4 linked regions of the Drosophila melanogaster genome follow. The protein of the gene in region 3 binds, or shares a complex with, the protein of the main gene of each other region. Each region holds a gene or a part of one and is shown on either strand. Other genes may lie near its edges.

The links.
Region 1: Sec13 (region 3) and Wdr24 share a complex: the UniProt entries of both Drosophila melanogaster proteins name them as parts of the GATOR complex.
Region 2: Sec13 (region 3) and mio share a complex: the UniProt entries of both Drosophila melanogaster proteins name them as parts of the GATOR complex.
Region 4: Sec13 (region 3) and Nprl2 share a complex: the UniProt entries of both Drosophila melanogaster proteins name them as parts of the GATOR complex.

What each region holds. Positions count from the first base shown.
Region 1 is NT_033777.3:29,740,894-29,747,254, reverse strand, and holds Wdr24 (WD repeat domain 24), read left to right. Parts: upstream 1-2,162; 5' UTR 2,163-2,255; coding exon 2,256-2,373; intron 2,374-2,431; coding exon 2,432-3,071; intron 3,072-3,133; coding exon 3,134-3,466; intron 3,467-3,519; coding exon 3,520-3,604; intron 3,605-3,664; coding exon 3,665-3,820; intron 3,821-3,877; coding exon 3,878-4,336; intron 4,337-4,402; coding exon 4,403-4,588; intron 4,589-4,651; coding exon 4,652-5,008; 3' UTR 5,009-5,283; downstream 5,284-6,361. Other genes in the region: IntS11 (integrator 11), read right to left, coding at 1-462, 518-1,492, 1,572-1,785; Gnpnat (Glucosamine-phosphate N-acetyltransferase), read right to left, coding at 5,516-5,557, 5,886-6,105, 6,165-6,226, 6,288-6,361. UniProt on the Drosophila melanogaster protein: An essential component of the GATOR subcomplex GATOR2 which functions as an activator of the amino acid-sensing branch of the mTORC1 signaling pathway.
Region 2 is NT_033779.5:2,215,143-2,221,837, reverse strand, and holds mio (missing oocyte), read right to left. Parts: upstream 4,549-6,695; 5' UTR 4,412-4,548; coding exon 4,294-4,411; intron 4,241-4,293; coding exon 4,067-4,240; intron 4,009-4,066; coding exon 3,757-4,008; intron 3,665-3,756; coding exon 2,734-3,664; intron 2,678-2,733; coding exon 2,122-2,677; intron 2,062-2,121; coding exon 1,580-2,061; intron 1,519-1,579; coding exon 1,428-1,518; 3' UTR 1,213-1,427; downstream 1-1,212. Other genes in the region: CG42371 (uncharacterized protein), read left to right, coding at 4,696-4,825, 4,879-5,012; CG15386 (uncharacterized protein), read left to right, coding at 5,030-5,263; daed (daedalus), read left to right, coding at 5,613-6,323, 6,379-6,507; CG34174 (uncharacterized protein), read right to left, coding at 6,691-6,695. UniProt on the Drosophila melanogaster protein: An essential component of the GATOR subcomplex GATOR2 which functions as an activator of the amino acid-sensing branch of the mTORC1 signaling pathway.
Region 3 is NT_033777.3:23,354,478-23,359,685, reverse strand, and holds Sec13 (secretory 13), read right to left. Parts: upstream 3,409-5,208; 5' UTR 3,021-3,408; coding exon 2,734-3,020; intron 2,289-2,733; coding exon 1,505-2,288; 3' UTR 1,155-1,504; downstream 1-1,154. Other genes in the region: RpS3 (ribosomal protein S3), read right to left, coding at 1-532, 796-831; ATPsynCF6 (ATP synthase, coupling factor 6), read left to right, coding at 3,901-4,052, 4,117-4,285; PolE1 (DNA polymerase epsilon subunit 1), read right to left, coding at 4,598-4,901, 4,966-5,208. UniProt on the Drosophila melanogaster protein: Functions as a component of the nuclear pore complex (NPC) and the COPII coat. At the endoplasmic reticulum, SEC13 is involved in the biogenesis of COPII-coated vesicles.
Region 4 is NC_004354.4:16,881,628-16,886,709, forward strand, and holds Nprl2 (nitrogen permease regulator-like 2), read right to left. Parts: upstream 2,739-5,082; 5' UTR 2,614-2,738; coding exon 2,437-2,613; intron 2,375-2,436; coding exon 1,868-2,374; intron 1,780-1,867; coding exon 1,225-1,779; 3' UTR 1,057-1,224; coding exon of another isoform or gene 983-1,056; 3' UTR 892-982; downstream 1-891. Other genes in the region: CG4872 (uncharacterized protein), read left to right, coding at 1-623, 694-891, 983-1,056; Polr3I (RNA polymerase III subunit I), read left to right, coding at 2,974-2,981, 3,059-3,173, 3,237-3,389, 3,449-3,889; DENR (density regulated protein), read right to left, coding at 3,987-4,174, 4,340-4,601, 4,691-4,810. UniProt on the Drosophila melanogaster protein: An essential component of the GATOR subcomplex GATOR1 which functions as an inhibitor of the amino acid-sensing branch of the TORC1 signaling pathway.

The sequences.
Region 1 (6,361 bases), 6.4 Mb from region 3:
CGTTCTCCTGCATCGTCACCGTCCAGCCGGCTAGCTTTTCTTCGAGCAGAGTCTTCAGTCTTTCGCTTGTGCGAATGACCGGTCCGGAGTCGTCCATTTTGACCTTGGATGTAAATCGCATAACATGTCGATTAATTCCGATTTCCTTCAGGGCATCGGTTAGGTTTTGCAGCATTATTCGATTGTCCTTCATTACGAGGACGCCATGGATTAGTCGCCGCCTCTTGGGATCCGGTGGCTGGGCGTTGTAGGACCGGGCCTCTGCTTTAAGCAGGGAAACGGACGCATCTACTGGTATCTTCACAGGCGTAGAAATCACACAGGTTTCGCCGTTGGCCGGCATGTAGGTTTCCAGGTTGAATTCGTCTTTGATCTTCGAGCGCAGGAACTTCATCTTCCCTGCTTCACCATGGACGAGCATGACGTTCTTTGGCTCACAGTTCTGAATTAGCTGCATAATGCCTGCAATACAGAAAATTAATTAGTATCAGCATAAAAGTGCTAAGCTTGTAGCCACCTTTGGCATCTGCATGGGCCGAGAAGCTCATGTACTCCACGGCCATTTTGACCTCGACCACCTGGCGGTTCTCGAACTCCACCTTCTTGGCGCCACCGAGAATCTTGTTGCCCACGGTTCCCTGCACACAGTAGCCGGGCATAATCACCATGTTGTTCTCATTCGGCGCCCACTTCTTGAAGATCTGCAGGGAAAGACCTGCGTGCAGCATGCCTGGCGTGGCGAACACTACCATCGCGCCAGGATTGTCGATGTAGGCCTTGTCAAAGGGCTTGATGTGCTTGAAGTCGAACATGTTGCGGTGAACGAAGGTCTTGCGGATCTTCTGGTTCGTCCAGGTGATGAACATTTTGTAGTAGGTATTGGCCTTCTCGGTAAGACCCAGAGCAAAGTATATGGGGTACTTGAGGTTCATGCGCTCCCAGTACGTCTCCAGCAGGATGCACAGCTCCTGGGCGCGACCCAGGGCAAAAACAGGGATTAAAACCTTGCCGCCCTTAGCCACGCACTCGTGAACTTTCTTGAGGAAGTCCCTCTCGCGACACCGCTTCGAGTCCCTAATGGTAGTGGCGTAGGTGCTCTCGGAGATCAGCAAGTCCGGCCGGCACTTGTCTATCCAGGCGGCTCCCAGATGCCTGTCTGGAGTCATGTTGTAGTCCCCCGTGTAGACAACGCTCTGGGAGCCCACCTTGATCCAGAACATGGCGGCGCCCAGGACATGGCCTGCATAGTAGGCTTTGATCTCAAGGTCCGTGTCCACCATCATACTCTGGTGAAGTGTGACGGGAATCACCTTCTTCATGCAGTCCTTGATCATCTGGGTGGTAAAGAAGTTCGACTCGCCTTTCCGCTCTACGGCCACCTTCCGCATGTCCTCCAGGAGGATGGGTGCTATGGCCTTGGTCGGATGCGTCATGTAGATGGGCCCCGTGTAGCCCACAATCTCTGACATGTAGGGCAAGGCCCCGCAGTGATCTGGAATGCATGCAATCGATAAAGAAACGATTAGAGCCAGTTGACCAGATAAGAGCGCCTTTGGGAGGCCGAGACTCACCCAGGTGGAAGTGCGAGATGATCACACAGTCAATGTGGCTGGTGATCGGACCCTCCGGCACTATGTAGGAGAAGTCCGGGAAGCGGCGCTCGTCGTTGTAGCCCATATGCATCCCGCAGTCGAGCATTATGTTCTTCCCGCCCATCGAGAGCAGCAGACAGCTGCGGCCCACATCCTGGCCGGCGCCCAAGGGCGTTATCTTGATGTCCGGCATTTCTGGAAGGGATCAGGATCACCCGGCTCCACTCTCCTGCTTTCTTGCGGCCACTTGTTGCGCTGGTAAATGAAATTGTCGAAAAAGTCGACCGTGATTTTTGTAAACAGCAAGGCCGCACGAATGGCGTTGCCACTCCGTCGGTGTGGATGGTCCGGCAACGACGCGCTCCAACTGGCAGATCTTATTGGAGTGTTCCAAGAAGTTTCAAAGAATTTAATAGCTTAATTGAAATTAATGTTTCTGTCTGTATATGTATAGAATACATTAATTATATGTGAATAATACAACTTTAGTACAATAAGTCTTTTGTTCAAACAATATTCAACATCTGCATTTGGGAACACTCGCGCCAATGGTTTGCCGCTCGAGAAACGGTCATACTGAACCGAAAGGAAAATAAAAGATAGCGTCTTGTCTTATCAAATCACTGTTTTGCTTTCTGCGGGCGAACTTGCAACTGCTGCAGGATGCCCGATTCCGTGGAGGACACCTCCACAATCTCGCTGCGGATATGCCTGGAAGGACACGCGAACGCCCTGGCCCTGAATAAGGACAACAACCAGATTGCTTTGGCCGGAAGAAGCTGTAAGATTAGAATTGCCCAAGGTCTTTCTATAAATACACATAATTTGCTTCCGAACAGTGCTTAAGGTGTACTCCATAAACAGCAATGGCTTCACGGAATCGTGTAATATGCGCGGAAAGAACCAGAATCTTAGCTACTCCGCCAACGATGTGGCCTGGTCCACCTTGGATAGCAATCTTTTGGCTACGGCGGCCACGAACGGAGTGGTTTCCGTGTGGGATCTCTCCAAGTTCGGCAGGCAGAAGCAGCTGCTTGTCTACAACGAACATGAGCGCACCGCTCATACCGTGACCTTTCACAGCAGCGAGCCCAACATCCTGATCTCCGGTTCTCAGGATGGCACCATCAAGTGTTTCGACATCCGATCGGATAAGTCAATCAACACCTACTTCTGCAACTCGGAATCAGTGCGGGATGTCAAGTTCAGTCCACACACACAAAACATATTCTCCGCCGTCTCCGAGAATGGAACTGTCCAGTTGTGGGACATGCGGAAGTGGGACAAGTGCATGGTGCAGTTTACGGCGCACTACGGGCCAGTCTACACATGCGACTGGCATCCCACAAGGAATTGGCTGGCCACCGGAAGTCGGGACAAGCAGATCAAGGTGTGGAACATGGATGGCAGGCCGGGATTGGAGCACACCATTCACACAATCGCCGTAGTGGGACGGGTTAAGTGGCGACCAGAAAGAACGTAGGTTTTTCTAGCCAGGTTTAACAGTCTTATTTATATTAAATCTGTTTAATCCTTTCCAGTTATCACATCGCTAGTTGTGCCCTTGTGGTGGACTACAGCGTTCATGTGTGGGACATCCGCAGACCCTACATCCCCTTTGCCTCCTTCAACGAGCACACCAATGTGACTACTGGAATTGCGTGGCAGGGCAGCGACTCGCACTGTCTTCTGTCCATCAGCAAGGACTCCACCATTTACAAACATGCTTTTAAGGATGCCACGAGGCCAGCGCTGAAGGCAAATGCCCAGGGAGCTAGCCTGGGCAGATTTGGGGACATCTCCTTTGCCAACAAGATCAAGGAGTATGAACCCAAGACCAGCGGTGCATCCAATACCAAGTCTTCTAGCTTCATGTATGTCGTATTTGTTGTATCAACTTGTATGTTTATATGTATGTGTATTTTAGAAGTCGCCGTAAGACGAATGTGGCTGGCAGCATTCAGTTCCATTTGGACCATTCCAAAATGTACAAATTCATGGTAAACGACACGGTTAGTATGACACTATTAGGGATTTCTTTGCCAAATCTGATACTAATTGATATATTTCAGTTTTCCGGCTATCCCCTAAGCGAATCTGTTTCAAGACCCACCCAAGAACACGAAAGTTTTATTGGCTGTGCCAGGGAACTTGTTATCAGTGGGAAAAAACTATCGGAGTTATGCGAGCACAATGCAGAGGTTTCCAAGAAATACGGCAAACATAATGTAAGCGCTTGAGATTATTCCCAAAATTTGCCAAAACTTAGCATCTACATTTTTCAGGCCACCACATTGTGGAACTTTATCAAATTGTTCTACGGCAGCAATCACTTTGAGCCTCCCTTCGAGCACCGCTCCTCCTTCTCGAATCAAAAGAATCCAATGAACTCACGACGTGCCACGCAAGTAGCCAGCGATTGGCCACAGCAGCGAACTGAACTAGGCCAGGATCTCAATGGAAACACGCCGGAAACAGCCCACGAAATTGATGTGGCGAATGTGGACGATGATACGCTCGGCAGCAGTGGTGTGGAGCATCCGCCTACGAGCTCAGTGATTCTGTCCGAAACGCAAATCATCAGCGAGATTACCTTTGACAACTTTGAGCTCTTGCGCAATGGGTTTATCTACGTGGGTCCCACAGAATGCCCGAAAGCTTTGGCCTTCCCCGCCCTTCATCACGATGTGCAGGCTGCACGACCACAACTGGATCTCAAGGCGTCCGATCACGAAAAGTCACCTGTTAGTTGAGATTATTGAGAACTCGATGTATTTACAGCTTAACTAACTTATTCATCCTCTTTTTAGCCACCGCATGTTCCCACTGTCCTAAAAGTCAGCCATGTCCCGCCCATACCCATGTGGGAACCGCATAAGTTCGTCTCCGATGCCCTCATGCTAATGAACGATGTGGGCGATGTGCAAACAGCTCTGACAGTCCTTATAGCGCTGGGAGAAGCTCGGAAGCTCCTGCCCATTGACGATGCATTGGTGGTGAGTTCAAAGACAAAGTTGGGATCAGAACGGAGTTATTCATCCGGTTTTCTTCCTTTTCAGGAGCACTGGTTTTACACCTACGTGGACCAGCTGCATCGCTATGAGCTGTGGAACGAGGCCTGCGAGGTTATCAACCGCTCCTGGCTGAGATCGGTGCAGCAGCTCAACCAGCACTCGACCGCCATGCACACGAACTGTGGAGAGTGTGGACGTCCAATGGGCGGCAAGGTGGGATGGTACTGCGACAAGTGCAAGTCCATGCAGTCCGCCAAGTGCTGCGTCTGCGGTCTGATCGTCCGGGGAGTCTACGCCTGGTGCCAAGGATGCTCCCACGGCGGTCACATAGAGCACCTGCAGAAGTACTTTGCCAAACACTCCAAGTGCCCCAAGTGCGGACACCTTTGCGCGTACTCATGAGACGCGGAGGAGGCTGGGTTTGCCCAGCTTTTGCCCCCCATTTGAGAGCCTTGTAAATAGAGAAGACTTAAGCCCAATAAGTACCTTGCACTAGACACTAAACAGATTTTTATATAAATGTAGCTCGAAGATGTAAACTTGTAAAATAAGCTCAACGTTTGTGAAGTAAATTAACAGACAGGTTTAATCGATCTTCTGCAACTTTAAATAGCACAAATGTTTGTTACTTAACTTTTTTTGAAATATTGGAAAATAAAACTGTTGTCTGTTGATGCAAGTAAGTTTATAAACATTCTGGGCTTTTGAAAAAAGTGTCCACTTTATTGAATTTCTTCAATCATTAAAGGTTTTTGAAAGATTCGTATTGGGTTTTAATCGCTATTGTTGATTAGTGTTAATAACAGTTTAACAGTTATGCGAGTGTTTCAATCTTAGGGCTACTTGATGAAGGTGCTCTTAAAAGGTAATATTACAACCACCTTGGAGTTGAGAGGTCGAGCCGCACATTCAGTAGCAGAAAGGGGAGAAAAAATTATAAAATTGAGAGTTCTGTAGGGATTAAAAACAGAGAGCAACATATGTTGCGGTTGTCTTTAACTAAATATCTAATTGTATGTCCTCGCGGGTGGGTGGACAAGCACGTCCGTCCACAAGGACACCACCGCCAGCCAGCGCTGTCCAAAAATCCATCATGCCCTCAGCGCAATGGAATTTTGGCAATGCCTATATGCATTTAATGTTTTCTTAGAATCCAATTTTAGTTTTGTTGCATTGCGCTTCGCGCATTTGTAACTTTGAGATGGGGTGCTCCCACTCAAAGCTTGGACTTTGGAGCAGCGTTGGCGGCTAATTGTCAAGAGGCAAAATCGAGGCTCACAGTTTGGCAGGAGTCGCCCACTGTTCCACTGGAGCCGGCTGAGGTAGCATTCCGCTTGAGCGTTGGCCCCTCATCGTAGCGAATCGTCATGGAGTTGGAGTTTCCGGGAATGGCCACATAGCCCAGCGACTCATAGAACTTGATCAGCTTGTCCTTGCAGTCCAGCGACATTTTGTAGCAGCCCAGTTCCTCGGCCAGCAGCGATACGGTGACCACGATCCTGAATAGTAAGTCCGCGGATTAATGTTTCTTGTTGGGAAAATGATATACAACGCTTACAGTTTTCCCAGTTGCTTCCCGCGATACGTGTCATTGACCACCACATCCTCTAGACGGCCACGCTGAAGAATGAATCATAAGTTAAGCTAAATCATGGATCCTTTTCTCATCTTCTTCACTTACCACAGCACAGTTATGGATGAACTTGCGCTCGATCACCAAGGATGCAGCTCCAATAATCTCATTCTTGCGAGTGT
Region 2 (6,695 bases), on a different chromosome or scaffold from region 3:
AGAAAAGCTTTGGTATTAACATCTGCATTCGCAACAAAATCATCATTCTGAATTAAATAAATATTACAAGTATTTTTTGAAGCTTTCTTATAATACTAATCCATTTAAAGCATATACAGTTATATTGTTCTCAGTGTAAAAGAGCGCGGTGAGCGTAGAAGAGCGTAGTGCTAAATTTAGTGGAGTGACATAATGAACCGTTCGTTTCGTTTAAGTTGTGTTTGAGTTCCCACTTCTTGATTTATAACCGATTTCTGAATGGAAACCAGAAGCTGAAGCGTAAGACATTAAAGATAGCTTCAAGTCTGGATCTTCTGAAATGTTTACCCTAATTTTTAATGGTTTTTCGGACGCTCTATTTCCCCGGCGAGAACCATACAAAAAACGCTGCGTTTTCGATTTTCAAAGGGGTCACGCGGTGAAAATGCCTGAGATGCGTCGAATTTTGTTGGCAAAGTTTCAAAACTTTTTCGCACACGAATTTATTGTCTCGATTTCTAAATACAGCTAGTTCAACAAGAAAACACGACGTCACCAAAGGTATTTAATAATCCGCCAAAAGCTATTTGGAGAGACCTTCTTTGATCTTCGCATCAAAATATAAATAAATGCGGCTTGTATGTATGTATTTGCATTTTGGATTTGTATGCGCTGCAGGTTTTAAACTTGGGAGTTCTTAATGGGAAACCCGTTTTCGGGCACTCAGATTGGACAAAAGCCTCAGGTGTAGACACGAATGAGTTGAAAAGGTCAAGTAACTAAATATCGCTATTTTCAAAGCTATCATGTACAAATATTTAATCTTAACTGCCAGTTAAAGTGCTGTGCTCAAATTCCGTAGCACTCACATGCTTTATGGAAATTTGTACCCCCACCCACAACTTACCGTCTTTATATTATATCTTGTGTATCGGCACTGTCTTTTGGTTTAATCTATTCACTATATCTTGATTTGTTTGTTCAGGCGTTATCACATAATGTTATTAACCATTCACTTAAGCCCTACGAGTGGAAGCACTTTTTCTGCACATTTACGTCAGAAAGCAACAAAAAATAATAACGCCGCATAAAAACGTGCGAAGCGGTGTGACCGTTATCAGTTCCAACAAGAATGCTAATAAGTACTACCTGAAAGTGTTGCAAAACACGAAACTATAACGGTTTCAACTTTCAAAAGAAAAGCTGAGAAATATCTATAGTAATTTGTCGCACATAGTCCTTTATTTGAATGTAAGTATAAAATGCAATTGAGCAGCTAAAAGCTGGTAGGTCATAAACACTAATGCTACGGGCACATCCCTTGTCTAAGTACAATGAACACTTCTGAGTTTGTTTAAGGCGCACGCGTTTGGAACAAATCAACAACTTAATGCATATGCATATGGCCTGGGCGAGTAAGGGCTGTGTATGGTGGGTGCTCCGGACAGCTAGGAAATGTCTCTCAATGTGTTCGGCTTGGTGCCGTCCATGTCGAAGCAGCGGCAGTTGCACGACGACACGGGGCACTCTGAATTTTGCCTGGCAAATAAACGCGTACATTGGTCAGAATTCAATTAAATATTGGTAACTTTGAACTCACTTGAACCACTGCATGATGTGCTCGGTGTGTCCGCCGTGGCGACAGGTCTGACACCAGGAAAACCACTTTGAGAAGGGCTTGGTCTGCCAGCCGGGCACGTCGGGCGTGGTGGTCGGGGTCTCCCCATTGCTCATGTTCACCATTGTGCCCATGTGCATTAGGCAGAGCGAGCAGCGGGGCAGGGGTTTCCGGCAGCTGGGGCATGAGGAGAGCCTGTTGGTGCTGGTGGTGGTGCTCCGTGGACGCGGCTCGTCCAGCAAGGCGTTGGACACAGACTTGCCGCAAAAGTTGCACGACAGAAATACGGTGCGGGAACTGCGGGAGGATGGGCGGATGCTCTCGATCTTGATGTCCAGCTCGGCCCGCTTCTCCCACAAGCCCCAGCTATTGAGGTGATCCAAGTAGCTGGCGATCCAGTACTGGATGCGCTTGTCCTCGAAAAGCTCTTGCCGGAAGTAGTTAATGGCCACCAGGGCTACCGTCTAAGAAACAGCTCAATGTATATCAAAGTTTCTACATATGTTTTTATAGCGCACGCTCACCTGCACATCGAAGCTGGTGTCCATATAGGACTGCAGTATATCGATTCCGTCCTGCGACTCTCCAGTGAGCAACAAGCCATTTAGATCGCCACCATCTATGGCCGCCTGGATTTGCTGCGCAACATAGTCAGCCAGCTTGGTCTCCGATAGATATTTGCAGGCGAAGGCCATGCGGTCTGATAACGAAACGCCTTCCTCTTTGAGCACTGCATCAAAATTGTCCTTCTCCATCGTTAGAAAGGAGAAGACAGCCCTTAAGTGTGGATCGTGTATCTGCATGTTGGCGCTGGATCGCTGATTCCGCCACGTGGAACTGCAGCGATCTGCATTGAAACTGGACAAGGCGATGACGGTGATCCTGTACATGCTGGGATCCCTCATGTTGTCCGCCGCCGACGATAGGATGTTGCAGGCATGGAAAATTTTCAAGTGGAACACGCAGATCATGGCTGCCCGGCTGTACTCCTTGTTTGCATACAACTGGTCTATAAAGCGATCCAGCTCCTGCTCAAAGGCCCAACCGCAAAGTTGGAGGGCCAGGTCGCGCTGCTCACTCCTGCATAAAGATTGGGGTTATCACACTCGTCAAACCACAAATTCATATAAACTTACCTGTAGCATATCAGTTTGTTGGAGTTGTTGATGCCCTCTGGCCACTGGAGCACCTGAGATTCAATGCGGGAGCTGGCCATCAAGGCCTCCGAGGTGTGTCCCAAGTTAATGCCCAAAGTGGCCTTTAAGCCCGTCAGTCGATCCTCGCTGTAGACATTGTTCAAAGTGGACCACACATTTCGCAGATACGGTGTCAAGTGGAGTTCGCCGAATCGCTTGTTATCGGGTTTGATGCCGTAATCCTCTAGAGCGCGCTGACGCGTCTCGTCCACCAGATCCAGCTCAAAGAGTTCCGGTTTCAGCAGGTCCACATTGAAGGGCGAACCACCAGGAGTGCTAAAGTCCAGGGAACTCCCGCTATTCGTGCTGCAGCTGCTCGTGGGCTGCTGCTGAGTGGGCGTGGCCGCAGTGGAAGTCGGCGAGGCGGGTGTGTAGAGCGGACGCTGCATCAGAAGTGGCAATTTCCGGCGATTGCTGTGCGCCGTGTGCAAGGTGGCTGGCAGTCGAAAGTCCAGGATGTTCAGCGCATCTGCCAAAAGCAGAGCTCTCTCGAAATCCCTCGAATGCCACGACAGGCAATTAACAAACGAAAACTTTCCACTGTGCTGGTATCTAGCCGGAAAGGGGCTAATCTGTCGTTTTACGTGGTAGATCTCTCCGGAATTGTCCGTGTCCACACTCCGGATGTCGTAGAGAGTGATGTAGGAGGAATCGCGTTGCAGCGAGGAAAGCAGGCTTGTCCTGGTCGGACACCAAGCGATCTGCAAATGGTTTTTCGAGGACTGAATCTGCCTGAGGGGACTCTTGATATTTCGCGGATCCCACAGAGTGATCACCGAGTCCACATAGCTGCAGAGATAGTTGCCATTGGGGGATACGGAAAGTCCCTGCACTGTCTTTGTTTGAATGCTTTGACAGGTGGCGTTACTCTCTGCGAAAGGGATTTAAAGATTTCATCAGTGAAAGGGCAATAAAGTAATACTACGTAGTTGAAATATAACCAGTCGCATTATGTGTACTCACGCCTCAGATCGAACAGCTTTATCATCTTCTGGCTCATTCCCGCAATGACCGTGCGATGATTTCGATCCCAGCAAATGGAGTTGGCCGACTCGCCGACGCCGAAGAAGTTGGCCGTCTCCTTGGGAACTCCACGCTCAATGTCCCAGATGGTGATGCAGGTGTCATTTCGATGGCGATCGTGTCCAATGGCCAGGATATTGGCATCCAGCTCGTTCCAGGCGAGGCAGGTGCACATGCGCTGCTGACGCGGTGCTACGAGAAATGAAGAACTATTAGATGCAGCTAAGAATCGGCGTTGTCGTCCACCCACTGTACTCCCAGCTGCTGTCGTAGGTGTCCCGGAAGTTGCAAATCCCGACTTTGCCATCCGCCAGACCCACTGCAATTATGGGCTGGTCACTGTGGTAGGAGGCGGCCACGCAGCGGGCATATTGATAGCGCGACTCGTTGGCGAGGTAGTTCACGGATATATAAGGCAGGCGACCTGCAAGGGGGGCGGTTAAGTAAAGTGGCATAATCCCTTGGGGAAAACCCTACTTTTTTGGCTGTGATCATCTTTGCGGCGCACTTCGTATAAATGGATTTCCTGGCCCCAGGATACGAATTTGTCGGGAAAATGTGGAAACCAGCTGAGTCCGTGTGTATTGCCGCTCATCGTGGCCGATTTTCCATCGATGTAAAAAAAAACAATTTTCACTACAGACTAAATTGCGTCGCGTTATCAGTTTGCAAAAACAAAAACGTGAGATAAACACTGCACTACATGGCAAGAAGAAGAGGCGCACACACACTAGCCGGTCGACCAGCTGTTGGCCGCATGTTAGCCAGCACTGGCCCAGTTCGATAATTCGTTTTATCGATAAGCTGGTAGGTGATTTTGTTTTCCTTTTTTTTTTGTAAGAAAGCAAACGTGTTTAATATTTACAACTCCCACTTAAAATGCTGCGCAAAACACCAAAACCTGCAATTTGGAAATTCATCAAAGGAAGTGCCAAAACACTGTTTGTCCTCGAGGCAGTCTGCTTCGCAGCCAGCTACGGCGTTTATTATCGCATGAACACGAATCGAGGTGGGAGGATATTTATATAATTATTTTGATCGTTAATAACAATCCGCTCCTAGAGTTTCGTCAGCATATTCACGAGAACTATCCCTTCGTTTTGGACTATTACTACAAAATTGGTGAAATCGTCGGAGACAGCACAGTGCGACAGGCGGATGCGAGTTATTGGAGTGCTTTGAAGAAAAGCGACTAGAGGAGACCGCTTCCAAAATGCTTAGTAATCCCTACTTTAAGTCCGTTTTGTGGCTGATTGGCTTCGGAGGAATGGGGTACGGCCTAATGGTGTTAACCGAGCCGAACGTCGACAAGTTAGAGCGCATCAAAGCCTCCGTTTCAAGTACCAAACTGAGTGCGGATGAGCAGCGAAAGGCTCTGTTTATGAAGAAGCTCCAGGAGGCGTCCACCACCAGTGCCCCAATCTACAGGTCATCGTCCGAGAAATAGGATAGTTAGGAAGCTTAATCGTCATCAATTTATCAATTTGTTATACTTTTTAAATACAAATGTTAAGCATTTAATCTTAATTGGTTGGGTAGGGTGATTCATTAGAAGAAAATTCGATTCGTACAAGAATGCGAAATAGGAAAAAGGAAATAAAATTACTAAATTGTTAATATTCACGTTTTAAATGTTTACAGAGCCCTTACTACTTCTGTTACTTTTAACATAATCTGTTAGGAATCTTGACCACCCCTACTCGCAGTGCTCGTAAACGTCCGATTCTTAACAGCGAATCTAATCTAAGCGCAATTGCATTTTAATGGTAATTTAATTGCCATTATTGACAGAGTTTATGGCAACGAAGACGCACACAATGTCCGCGGGGGATGTCCCCTTGGTGGCGATGGCCAAGGTTCCGCCGACCATTCAGTTTGAGGCCACAAAGAACTTTCACTCGCACACCGAGCAGAAGGAATTGGACAGTGCTTTCCTGGGCTACAATCGACGTCCTTGGGTTCGCCAAAAGGCTCACAGGGACACACGCCGGGAGAGGGAGATCCTCAACGGTCTACTGTGCTCTACCAGCGTGGAAACGGACTACGCCAGCACCTGTGTGGACAAACTTATTGCCGAGAACATTAACTATCTGGATTTGGCCTCTCTCACCGACGAAGATTTGGAACTCTTCGGGTTCAAGTGTCGAAAGCAACGGCAACAGCTCCTGGAGATGTTCGAAAAGATTCCCAACCAGAATCCCAGTTACGAATACATTTGCAACCATCCTGAAGCCGAAAACTACAACAATCAGATTCTGGGCAATGCTGGCAACCACTTTATGTCCCTGCGCGCTTCTTTAGCGGCCACCAACTACAAGCTGCAGGTCTCCACTCCCGAGGACGTCGTGGTGGGCGACAAACGATATGCCAGCTGCTTTGCCCAGGAAACTCTAAAAAGCGTGAATCAGATCACCGAAGAGATTGCCAAGGATCTCGCGAAAATCGAAGCTAATGCCCAGAACGCAAGGAGCCAGAAGAAAGTGCAGGGCAACGAGAGTCACAAGAAGGTGAATATAGCAAGCAATAAGAAATTATTTTCCTTTATACAAATTTGCATTGCAGAAGAAGTGGAGCCTGGCTACTATTTTGTATTACACCACCTTGGCTGTGGGATTTTCGTGCGCCTGGTTCTGGTGGTGGACCAAGTTCCGCAGCGCTCCCCGACTGGAGCGGATCTCCGTTCAGACTTAAAAAAAACGCACAACGATGCATTTAATAGTTACATTCCGATTTTCTCATAGGACCTAAGTTTATAGAATTTACTTATTACTTCTTTAAGCATTCGCTTAATCTAAAGCTGTAATGAAGTTTTACTGCCCAACATGAACATTTGATAGAAACCATATGTTGTATTAAGTTGAAAAATTGTTTAATTTATT
Region 3 (5,208 bases):
CCTTGACCTTGATACCAAGCACTCCCTGGCGGAGGAGCACATGACGGGTGGCGGTCTCGACATAGTCGTTGCACGGATCTCCCGAATGGATCATCAGGCCATCGACGAATTTCATCGACTTGGCACGCTGACCACGCAGTTTGCCGGACACGACGACCTCGCAGCCCTTGGCTCCCGACTCCATGATGTAGCGGAGCACACCATAGCAAGCACGACGGACGGCCAGTCCTCCGGTGAGCTTGTACCTCAGCGACTCAGCCTGGGCAATGGCGCACAGGCCACGAGCGGCCACCTTCTCGGCGTACAACTCAATGCGTCCGGTCTCGAAGTTGAAACGCTTCTGCACCATGGCGGTCAGCTCCCGAATGCGACGGCCCTTCTCGCCCAGCACCTGCTGGGTCTTGGTGGCCATGATGATGATCTCAGTGCGAGAGGGGGTCACACGGACCTCCACGCCGGAGTAGCCATCCTCGGCGAGTTCGCGAGTCAGGAACTCGTTCAATTCAGCCTTGAAGATGCCATCGGAAACGAACTGGGGAGCAAAAAGAAACCATTATAATCCGCATTCCACATCTATTGCACACCTAGCAATCCTCCTTCTTGTTGTTGTTGTTTCACCACGCGTTGTTGAGTTCCAAAGTTTTTGGGACGCCCATCTGCTTTGAGGTTAACTCCGAAGCCGATGGATTTTCGCGCTTTCCGGCCGGGTTTTTCACACAACTCCGATGAAACAACGAACGTACGGACACTGCATTACATGCCGGAGGTAATCCTGTCTCATTTTTCCCCAATTACCTTGCGTTTCTTGGAAATCGGAAGGTTCGCATTCATTTTGACGTCGAATCGGAAACGTGGTGCGCAGAAAAGAAAGAGGCCAGTGTGCCCGCGCGAGACACGTTAAAAAATACCACCCGGTCTGGAAATAAATACCACTATATACCAATTTGGTTTCCAAAAATTACAGTTATACACTACTGAATTAAACAATTTATTTTAATTACTTTTAATATTCATTAATTTAAAATGTTTTTTAGCTATTTGCTGTTTCTGCCTCGTTTTTACTTAAATTGATTCACAGTAGTACTAGGCAGACATGGTTCGGAAACTAGATTACAACAAGCTTGTACACAAACCTAAAGTGACATTCAAAAATTGTGTAAAAATTTTAGTTTTGGAATTTATCTGTATGGTTAAAAATAATAAGTTTGAATAAAATTTGGTTAATTATTTAAATCTTATTATACTATTATTTTTAAATACATACTACTTACAATTTGCAAATATATTTGATAAAACTTAAAAAAAATGATACCATTTCGACAAAAACTTGTCTTTAGAATTCATTATAATTTCAGAAGATTCAAATAGGGATCCCATATGAAGTCCAAATAAACATACACTAAACAGCGTTTAAAGGGGCACATTAAATAGTATTTCGTATATATATATTTGTAAAGTAACACTTTTAACCACGACTTCAGCACGACAATATTTCGGGGCTGGCTCAGTTGGAGAGCTGCGAGTTGGACAGGTTCGAGCTATGCTCCGAATCGGAGGAAGGACCTGGATGCGATGGCGCCTGTTGTTGGTGCTGTTGTAGCGCCTGCTGCTGCTGGGAGTGGGAATGCGGAAGGTGCGAGGGCTGCTTCGACTGGATGGCCGTACCCGACTCGTAGTTGATGCGGATCCATTGGCCCTCCGTGTTCTCCTTCCACAATGTGACATTGTTGTCCCCACCGGTGACGGCAAGAATGTTGCCGGTGGTTGACCACGAGATGCTCCACACGGCATCGTCGAATGTGTGCAGCACAGTCGAGGTCCACTCGGATAGATCTGCGTTGCTGCTCCACACAATCACATGGCGATCCTGCGAAGCCGTGGCAATCTGCGAGCGGGGCAATCCGATCGACGGCGCCCAGGCCACGTCGCGCACCCAATCCGAGTGCGCCTCCAGTCGGTGCTCCTCCACCCAGCGGTCGTTGTCCTCCCGCCAAATCTTCACTAAATTATCGCAACCACCGCTCACTAGGCGCTTTACGGCCGCCGAACGCGAAGTTACGCGCTGGTCAAATGCTGGATCTGGTGCCTGGGCGGGGCACCACGAGATGGCATTCACTCCGATCGTGTGCGCATTCGGTATCTTCTTGGCATCCCACACACCGTACTCCGTGTTGCAGGTGAGCACCGATACCGAGCCATCCGAACTGGCGCAGGCCAACACCAATCCGTACTCGGATGGCGCGAAGTCCACCGAGTTTACCGAGGAGTCGTGGTTGCTGTATTCGTAGCTGAAATGTGGCAAGCACAGAGGTTAGATGTGGCACTCTTTAAATGATAACGGAAATCTAAACATAAGTATGACATGGCGCATTGCTACCTCGTAATCTCGTCAATAAGAGAGTATTTTATTGTGTTATGACAGAGGGAACAATTTAAAGGACACCAACATATATATATATTTATATATATTTATTATAACAAGATCTGATTCTTCTTGTTAAATATTTTCAATACCATGATGTAAACAATTATAAATGATAAATTACATTTGATACAAGACGTCCAAGCATAAATATTAAAATAATGATTTCCAAAGCTATTAAAGTATTATTATTAATCAAGGATCAAGCTATTAAAGTATTATTATTAATCAAGGTCCTAACAATGGGTATCCCCTGGTCGATTCCTAAAACAAACATAACTTTGTTGGTATGGGTGTGCCCGTTTACTTACAGCTTAGTCCAATCCCGGGGCGTTGTGGACTTCCAGACGATCACCTTGCGGTCGTAGGAGCACGATGCCAGTATGTTGCCAAACTTGGGATGTGCCCAGGCCACCTGCCACACTGGTCCCTGGTGTCCCTTGAGCTCGGCGAGCGCCTTATTGTTTTTGCGCGAGTGAAAGATGCGGACGCTGCCGTCCGAGGAGCAGGTGGCCAACAGTAGGCCGTAGAAGTCCAGCGCTGCGTGGTGGACCATGTCCTCGTGCTCGGTGTCGATCTCTTGCAGCAGGCTCACCATCTTGCTCGAAATCCGTTCGTCCGGTCGCCAGATAAATTGATTAAATGCAAGTCGTGTTTTTTTCCGGCGCTTGACGTGGAACCTGGTTGAGCAGTGTGACCTGAGCGCGGCAGTGGCTGATGGTTACACTTGCAATTGATCACATGGTCACTCTAGTCCATAGATGAGATAGAATAATTTCAAAGTTTTTAGTTCATATTCATATTATTCATATTCATATTATAGTAAAACAAGAATTTATTAATTATATTCAATTTAGATCGGGTTTTGGCTTGTGTGGGATTTTAGATACAGTTTAGGTGGTGTTTTGGTATGAACGTTTATGGAGCAGTTTTGATTTAAGTTGGACATGTATAGTAAGATACATAAACAGACACAGTGTATAAATTAGCTTTTCATAATTTGTAATATTTTTATTATAGGCTGTATTTCGATAGAGGCAAGTAATTTAAACGGATTGTTGATTAAAATTCTTGTTCGCAACGAATATAATCTATATGATACAGCTGACAAATACAGGATAAAGCAAAAAATCAGCTTAGGAAATACCCTTACTATTTAAAAAGCTTACGTCCAATAGTATCGCATACACCCATCACGCGCACATCACTAACACCAACTGCCATTGTGAACTGACAATTGTAACTTTTCCGCACGAAAGTTAGCATTTGCAAAGGAAAATAAGGTGAAAACAAGATTTAAAATACATAAAAATTGATTGAGGGAATACAATTTGAATACAAGATAAAGTTGCTAGCAAAGTCGGCTTGAAAACCGATTGGGAAACGTCGAAACAAACAATTGTATTACATAACCTTTTTAAGGTTACATATGAAGAAGGCCGTTTATTGCTATTCTAACAAGGATCTATCAATTCCAGATGCTGTCGCAATCCCTGCTGAGTGGCATGCGTGTCCTGCGCACAGAGGCCCGTCGTAACTTCGGAATCGTTGCCCCTGCCCTGAACAAGGCCTCCGATCCCATCCAGCAGCTGTTCCTGGACAAAGTGCGCGAGTACAAGCAGAAGAGCGCGTAAGTTCTGGCTCCTTCATCCGTTGGTGTGCCTCGACATAATCCTTGTTTTGCTCACCTGCAGCGGTGGCAAGCTGGTGGACTCCAATCCCGATATTGAGCGGGAGCTGAAGACCGAACTGGACCGTGTGGCCAAGCAGTTTGGCAGCGATGGCAAGACCGACATGCTGAAGTTCCCCGAATTCCAGTTCCCCGATGTTAAGGTCGATCCCATCACCCAGGCCCCACAGTAGAGATCGCTCTTCGCGAATGAGTTAGTCTAATTGCTTTAAGTTCAGCTGCTGATTTCGCCTGTGCGCCCCCAAAAACCGCGGGCAAGTCAACAAAAAAAACCAATAAAATCGGGAAAACAACAAGCGATTCGTATGCGAAAGCCACTAAAAGTGTGTGAATCTCATTGAATTATAAAGCGCGTCCATTCCTTAACACAGACATTCGTCTTGTGCGACATCATAAACTCAAAACTCATTAAAATCGAATTAAATTCCATTATAAATACAATATATTTAAGCCCTACGATCTAGAAAACAACAACAAACTAGGTCCTAGCGTGGCGTGGTCAGCGCCTGATGAACAGTCTGCTGGAGCAACTGCATCTTGTGGTTGGCAGCCACCTTGTTGAATGTGCCCAGCAGTGTCTGGATGTCCTTCCCGCTGATGAGGGGCACAAAGTTGCCAGCGCAAGTGCAGAACTCTGCCAGATTCTCGCGCTTGATCTCGCTGCAGCGCGAACAGCGCAGATCCTGCAGCACATAGGACATCATCTTGCGCTGCAGTGCATCCAGCATTCTCATTTCGATCTCCTCGTTATCATAGGCCACATAGCACTGGGCACACAGCCAAACGGGTCTGAAAAATCCAACATTAATCAATTATTTGTGGTAAATTATGTGTACTGGTTTGTGTAACTCACACTCCATCTTTCATGGCGCGATGCTTGTCCTTGCAGAGATCCAGGTCCCTGCAGTGATTACACGCTTTGCAGATGACCTCGTTGATGATGTGACTGTCGCAGGGATCCTCCCACTCAGCCAAGTCGGAGAACTCACCAATCCCCACCAGACGCAGCATATTTCGGCGCAACTCGTTGATCTGCTCCGCCAGCGTTTTGTCCACACTCAACGCCTTGATCAGAGTGCGGATAAGTTCTAGGCCC
Region 4 (5,082 bases), on a different chromosome or scaffold from region 3:
CAAGGAACCTGGCAAGGTTCTGCTCACCATGCCCGCCTATGTGGGCAACTACAGGCTGGAATCGTCAAGGGATCCTGGGGAAGTGGAGCACACCCACTCAACACTGGCCTGCAAGTTGGTGACCTCGTTCAGTGGGAATCCCCGACGGGATCCTCCGCTGCCCAGCATCCATGCCCATGTGCTGCTGTTCGACAATCAAACCGGTCAACTGTCGGCCATAATGGAGGGCACGGACTTGACCACCTGGCGCACTGTATCCGCTTCACTGGTGGCCACCAAGTATCTGTACTTCAGGCGCTTTGGGGCGCAGGCGGAGCAGGAAAGGAATATCAACGTGGCCATCGTGGGCTGTGGAGTTCAAGGACAACTCCATGCTGCCGCTTTCTGCGCGAACTTCCGGGTGAGGCAGCTTAATCTTTACAATCGCACGCAGGCAAAGGCACTGGGTTTAGCGGACCAACTGCGGCAGAAATTGAACACCGAGAGCGGAACCCAGATTACTGTATGTCCAAGTCCTCACGAAGCTTGCCAGGATGCCGATATCATCTGCATCGCCACGTACTCCAAGGAGCCGCTTATCCAGTTGGCAGATCTGAAATCCAAACGGGCTGTTCATATTAACGGTAGGTCTGCTGTTATAATGGAATGCTGGATGGATGATGATGACCTACCCTTTATAACTTTCGATTTCAGCTGTGGGAGCCGGCGAAGTTCACTTTTCGGAGGTGGCTCCAAAGATTTACCAGCAGGCCAAGGTCTACGTGGATTGCTATGCCAATGCCGAGGCTGAATTGGTGGGATTACCTGCGCCGATCACCGCTGAAGTGGGTCAGATCATTCTGGATGGAAACTATCCCAAGGAGCTAGAAATCAGCATCTTTCAATCCATGGGTGCGTTTTTATTAAGTTTGTGTAACTATATGACTATCTCTGTCTGTTTCAAAGTTGTATCATTAAAAATTTCATACATTTCCTATTTAAGGCATGGCCTCGGAGGACGCCTGTGTGGCCCAGGCGGTTCAGGATTGCATTATCTCTAGCGCAAAGGATTCCTGATTGCTGTCCAGCTGGCAAAGCGATTCCGGAACCAGCCCAAGCCAAACCAGTGAATTCTTAAACTTTAATGTGTATATGCGCGTATATAAAAAAGCATTTGGAAACATAACAATCGGTTCGCTTACAAACTACAACAAACCCAACTGGCCGGAGAAGTCCTTCCGGTCGTCACTTCCAGATCACAGTCACATTCGTGTCCTTCTCGATATCCCGCTCGATGGTGCAGGGCGAGAGGCCCGTCTTGCAGCAGATCTCGTCAAAGCTGATCAGCCCGGTGTACATCTTCTGCCGCCCGGAAGGCACTGAGCCCGTAAACACCGGGTACTTGTGGATGCAGCGAATGAATCGGTGCTGCAGCCCGAAGATCACCATGCGACGCTCATCGATGTTGTGGTGCTGGGGGCACAATCTCTGGCAGATCGCTCGCAGAGTAACGCCGTGAGTCATCGAGGCGTAGAACTGAAAGATGCGCTGAACACTGGGCAGCGTCTTGTCCGGACGCAAGGCCACGTATTTCCGGCATGCGCCGCTCAGTGATGCGCTCTGGATGAGATGCTTTAGGTTCTGCGTCATGTACACGTTGCTGTACTTCAGGATTGGCAGCAGCTGAACGACCCCGTAGTAGACCAGATTCTGTATGCACGACTTGACCAGGTCCGTTTCCACGTCCGCTTCGGCGGCAATGCGGGCAACATGGTTGATTCCATTTATATAAGGCAGGATCTAGAGGAAACCATAACAGTCCAATGGGATTACTAAATTATTTACATCGTGAAGATTGTATAACTATAGAATCAGGAATAGTCCGCACCTGTTGTGTGGTAAGGTCCCAGTTGTCCAGCGGAGCATCGCGCAGGTTCGCCAGCAGCAGGGGCACCATGTGATCCTTGACCGGCGGCGGGTCCGGCTTGTGCATGACGATCTTCAGGTATATAGTGTTATCGCCCTCAACAATGGTGGCCACCTTCCGCTCGTTAAGGTCGCGTAGTACAGTCTCAAAGATGTTCTGTAGGCGGCGCTTGTCATCTTCGCGAGACAGGAAGCACGACTCCTCCTCCATCATTATGAGGTACTCGGACAGCTTCTTGACGACCGGCTCGTACTGGACGCTCCTGGCCCGCGAGTCGCAGACAAAGCATAGGTTAAACAGGAAGGCATTCCGTGCGTACTTCTGCTGATCCTGGATGCCCACTGGATAGCCGACTATCTTTACATCCATTGCGTTGACGGTGAGAATGCAGCGTTGAAGATGCTGCTTGGGTATGATGTAAACATTGATAGCATCGAACACATCCTTGGATATGTAGTTATCAGGAACCTGAGGGACGTGGATTTGTTCGAACTATACTGCGTTATCAGCGCTCCTGGGAACCAGCTCACCTGGCAGCTTATCTTGCAGCCCGCCGTCGCATGAAACTCGCTGAGGAAGATGCACCGGATCTTGCCCTCCGTGCTGCCATGGGCACCCGCTGCTCCAGCTCCTGATCCGCCTGCTCCATTCGTGACCGCGCCCGCCGTTGTCGACGTCGCAGCCGTCTCATTCGTATGGGAATGCATGCCGTTCAAAAGATTCCAGTATCACCGCATCCACATCCTCTGCTTCCTTCCGCGGAGTGGACTCCAAAGCTTTAACAGCAGGTGGCACAATCCAATAACAGTGGCGGAATTCGCTGTAATGTTATGGTAAGCGATGCTTTAGTGTGACCATAGCCTTACTGCAACAAATATACTCCAATGCAAAAACCAATTATAACAAATTTTAACAACAAATTAATTCAACACCATTTAATTTGTTGAGTAGATCGTTTTATTCATGTATAAATTATCTGTTATGTTAATATATAAAGGCCAACTGTAATATGCGTAGGTGGGGTATATTTTAGCGCTCGCTCTGCGGTCATACTAAAATTTGCAGAAATGGAAACGTGAGGATTGTTTTGTTTTTATTTAGTTTTTCCATTAAACAGCGAATAATATGCAGATGATAACGCTTCCATTTCAGGATCAATCCCACGTTCTCGTACCTCACCAATCTGGAGGTAATGCAGATTCTACAGAAGATCAAAAGCACCAAAAAGAAGTTCGGCATGCGCAACTTGGCCACGGTTACCTATGAGGTGTCGATTTTTTTAAATATTTAACTAATATATGATAAATTAACCAAACACTTTGTTCCACAGGCACTGCAGTATCTGGAGGAGTCGCCCTGCAAGACACAAACTCGTGAGAACATTATGAATTACGTTAAAGACCTGTCTTCTTATCGTCTAAAGTCCCAAGAGATCCTGCAAATGATCAACGATCCGCCTACAAGTGCACTACACACGCAACTGGTAAGGATTAGTCTATCATATGCCAGAAAGGCTAATTAAGTATATAATAACCTCCCCAGCTCATCGACGACAATAAAGCTCCACTAACCGATGAGGAGAACGAGAAAATCATTCAGCTGAGCTACAAACACTTCCATGGTGGAGAAACCAAAGGCGCTGCTAAGGAAACACCGGCGGAAAAGCCTGCGGAGTCCACTGCGAAGGCCGGCAAGCAATCTGGCGTAAAGCGTAATGCCCAGGCAAAATCCAATCCAGCGGAACAAATAGCTCCAGCGGACAAAACCACGCCAGGTGATGGAGTTACTCCTGCGAATGTCGCTACTCCTTCAAGTGAAGCCACTACTACTACTCCAGCAGAAGAAGCAAGCCCAGTGGAAACATCGTCTTCAGAAAATAATGCTACTCCAGCAAATGAAGCCACTACAGCGCCTGCAACGGATGCACCCACTTCAATGGAAACCAAGTCCAATCCGACACCAGATGGAGAAAACCTCGGGTAGCAGCCGCCAAAATAACCCATCCGCTTATTACGTTTAACGTTTCATATATTTATGTTGATGGAGCGTATAAAATAAGCTAAAAAAAAAGGTAAATTATTTATGTTCGCTTCTGATCGCCCAAATCCTCGATGACGTCCTCATCGATCTCGGCCCATTTTTCGGGTATGACATCGAACAAGTCATCCTTGACGTCACCCTGAATGACGATCTCGTCGTCTCCGGTAACCGAGGAGCCGCAGGCAAATTTCGTGCCAAAGAACTTGGCGGCCACCTTGAGATCAATATCTGGAACAGACAGGGAATGTATTATGCTTAGTTAACAATAAAGCTCATAAGTATATCTAATATATCTAAGTTACATGGTATGGTAATGGCTACTCATAGCATCCAGTGGGCCCGCATCCCCCTCCATTTCCTACTCTATACTCATAATGTGCGAACAGAACCTACCAAAAGTGCTCAATCCTGTGACCACGGTCACTGACTTCTTTTTGCCACGTGCCGCCCGCGAGACGCAGATACGCTTGGGCACGTCCTCTTTCTTCTTGACGCGCAACAGTCCCTTGCCACCGCGTTTCTGGCGCTTCTTGTCGTCATCCGTCCCGTCAGCGGCGGCAGCCTCCTCCTCAATCTTTAGTCGCTCGAAGTCATCGGGCATGTGGAGCTCCAGCCACTCCTTGCACTTCTCGTACTCCGGATAGTACTCGCAGTACTGCGTATAGTGGATATATATATATGTAAATATATGGGCCATATATGATCCCTAATATGGATTTTTCCCAGGTTTGAAGACGAACTCACCTCAATGGGCATCGTGCAGTGGCCACAGTACTTCATCTGGATCGGATAGGTGACGCCTTCGCGCGGACCCAACTGTAGGCGGTCGGCGACGCTGTTGGTGCCCACATCTTCGTTCGTCATTGCGGATCGGATTAACTGCCTGGGATTTGCTCCGGGTTATTGAAATATTAAAATAATGACAGTTTTAAGAAGTCGGCTACTGCAAACTGACCGTTTTTGTTTAGGCTCGTAAAATATACTAACATTGACACATGTTAAATAAATACCTACCTAAAATATACCTTTATTTAAATCGTAGTACAATTCCGACTATCAATAAGCTAAAATTAAAATTTACGTATTTTCATTAATTTTACATTGATTGAAACTATTTTAATTTATACCTTGTATTG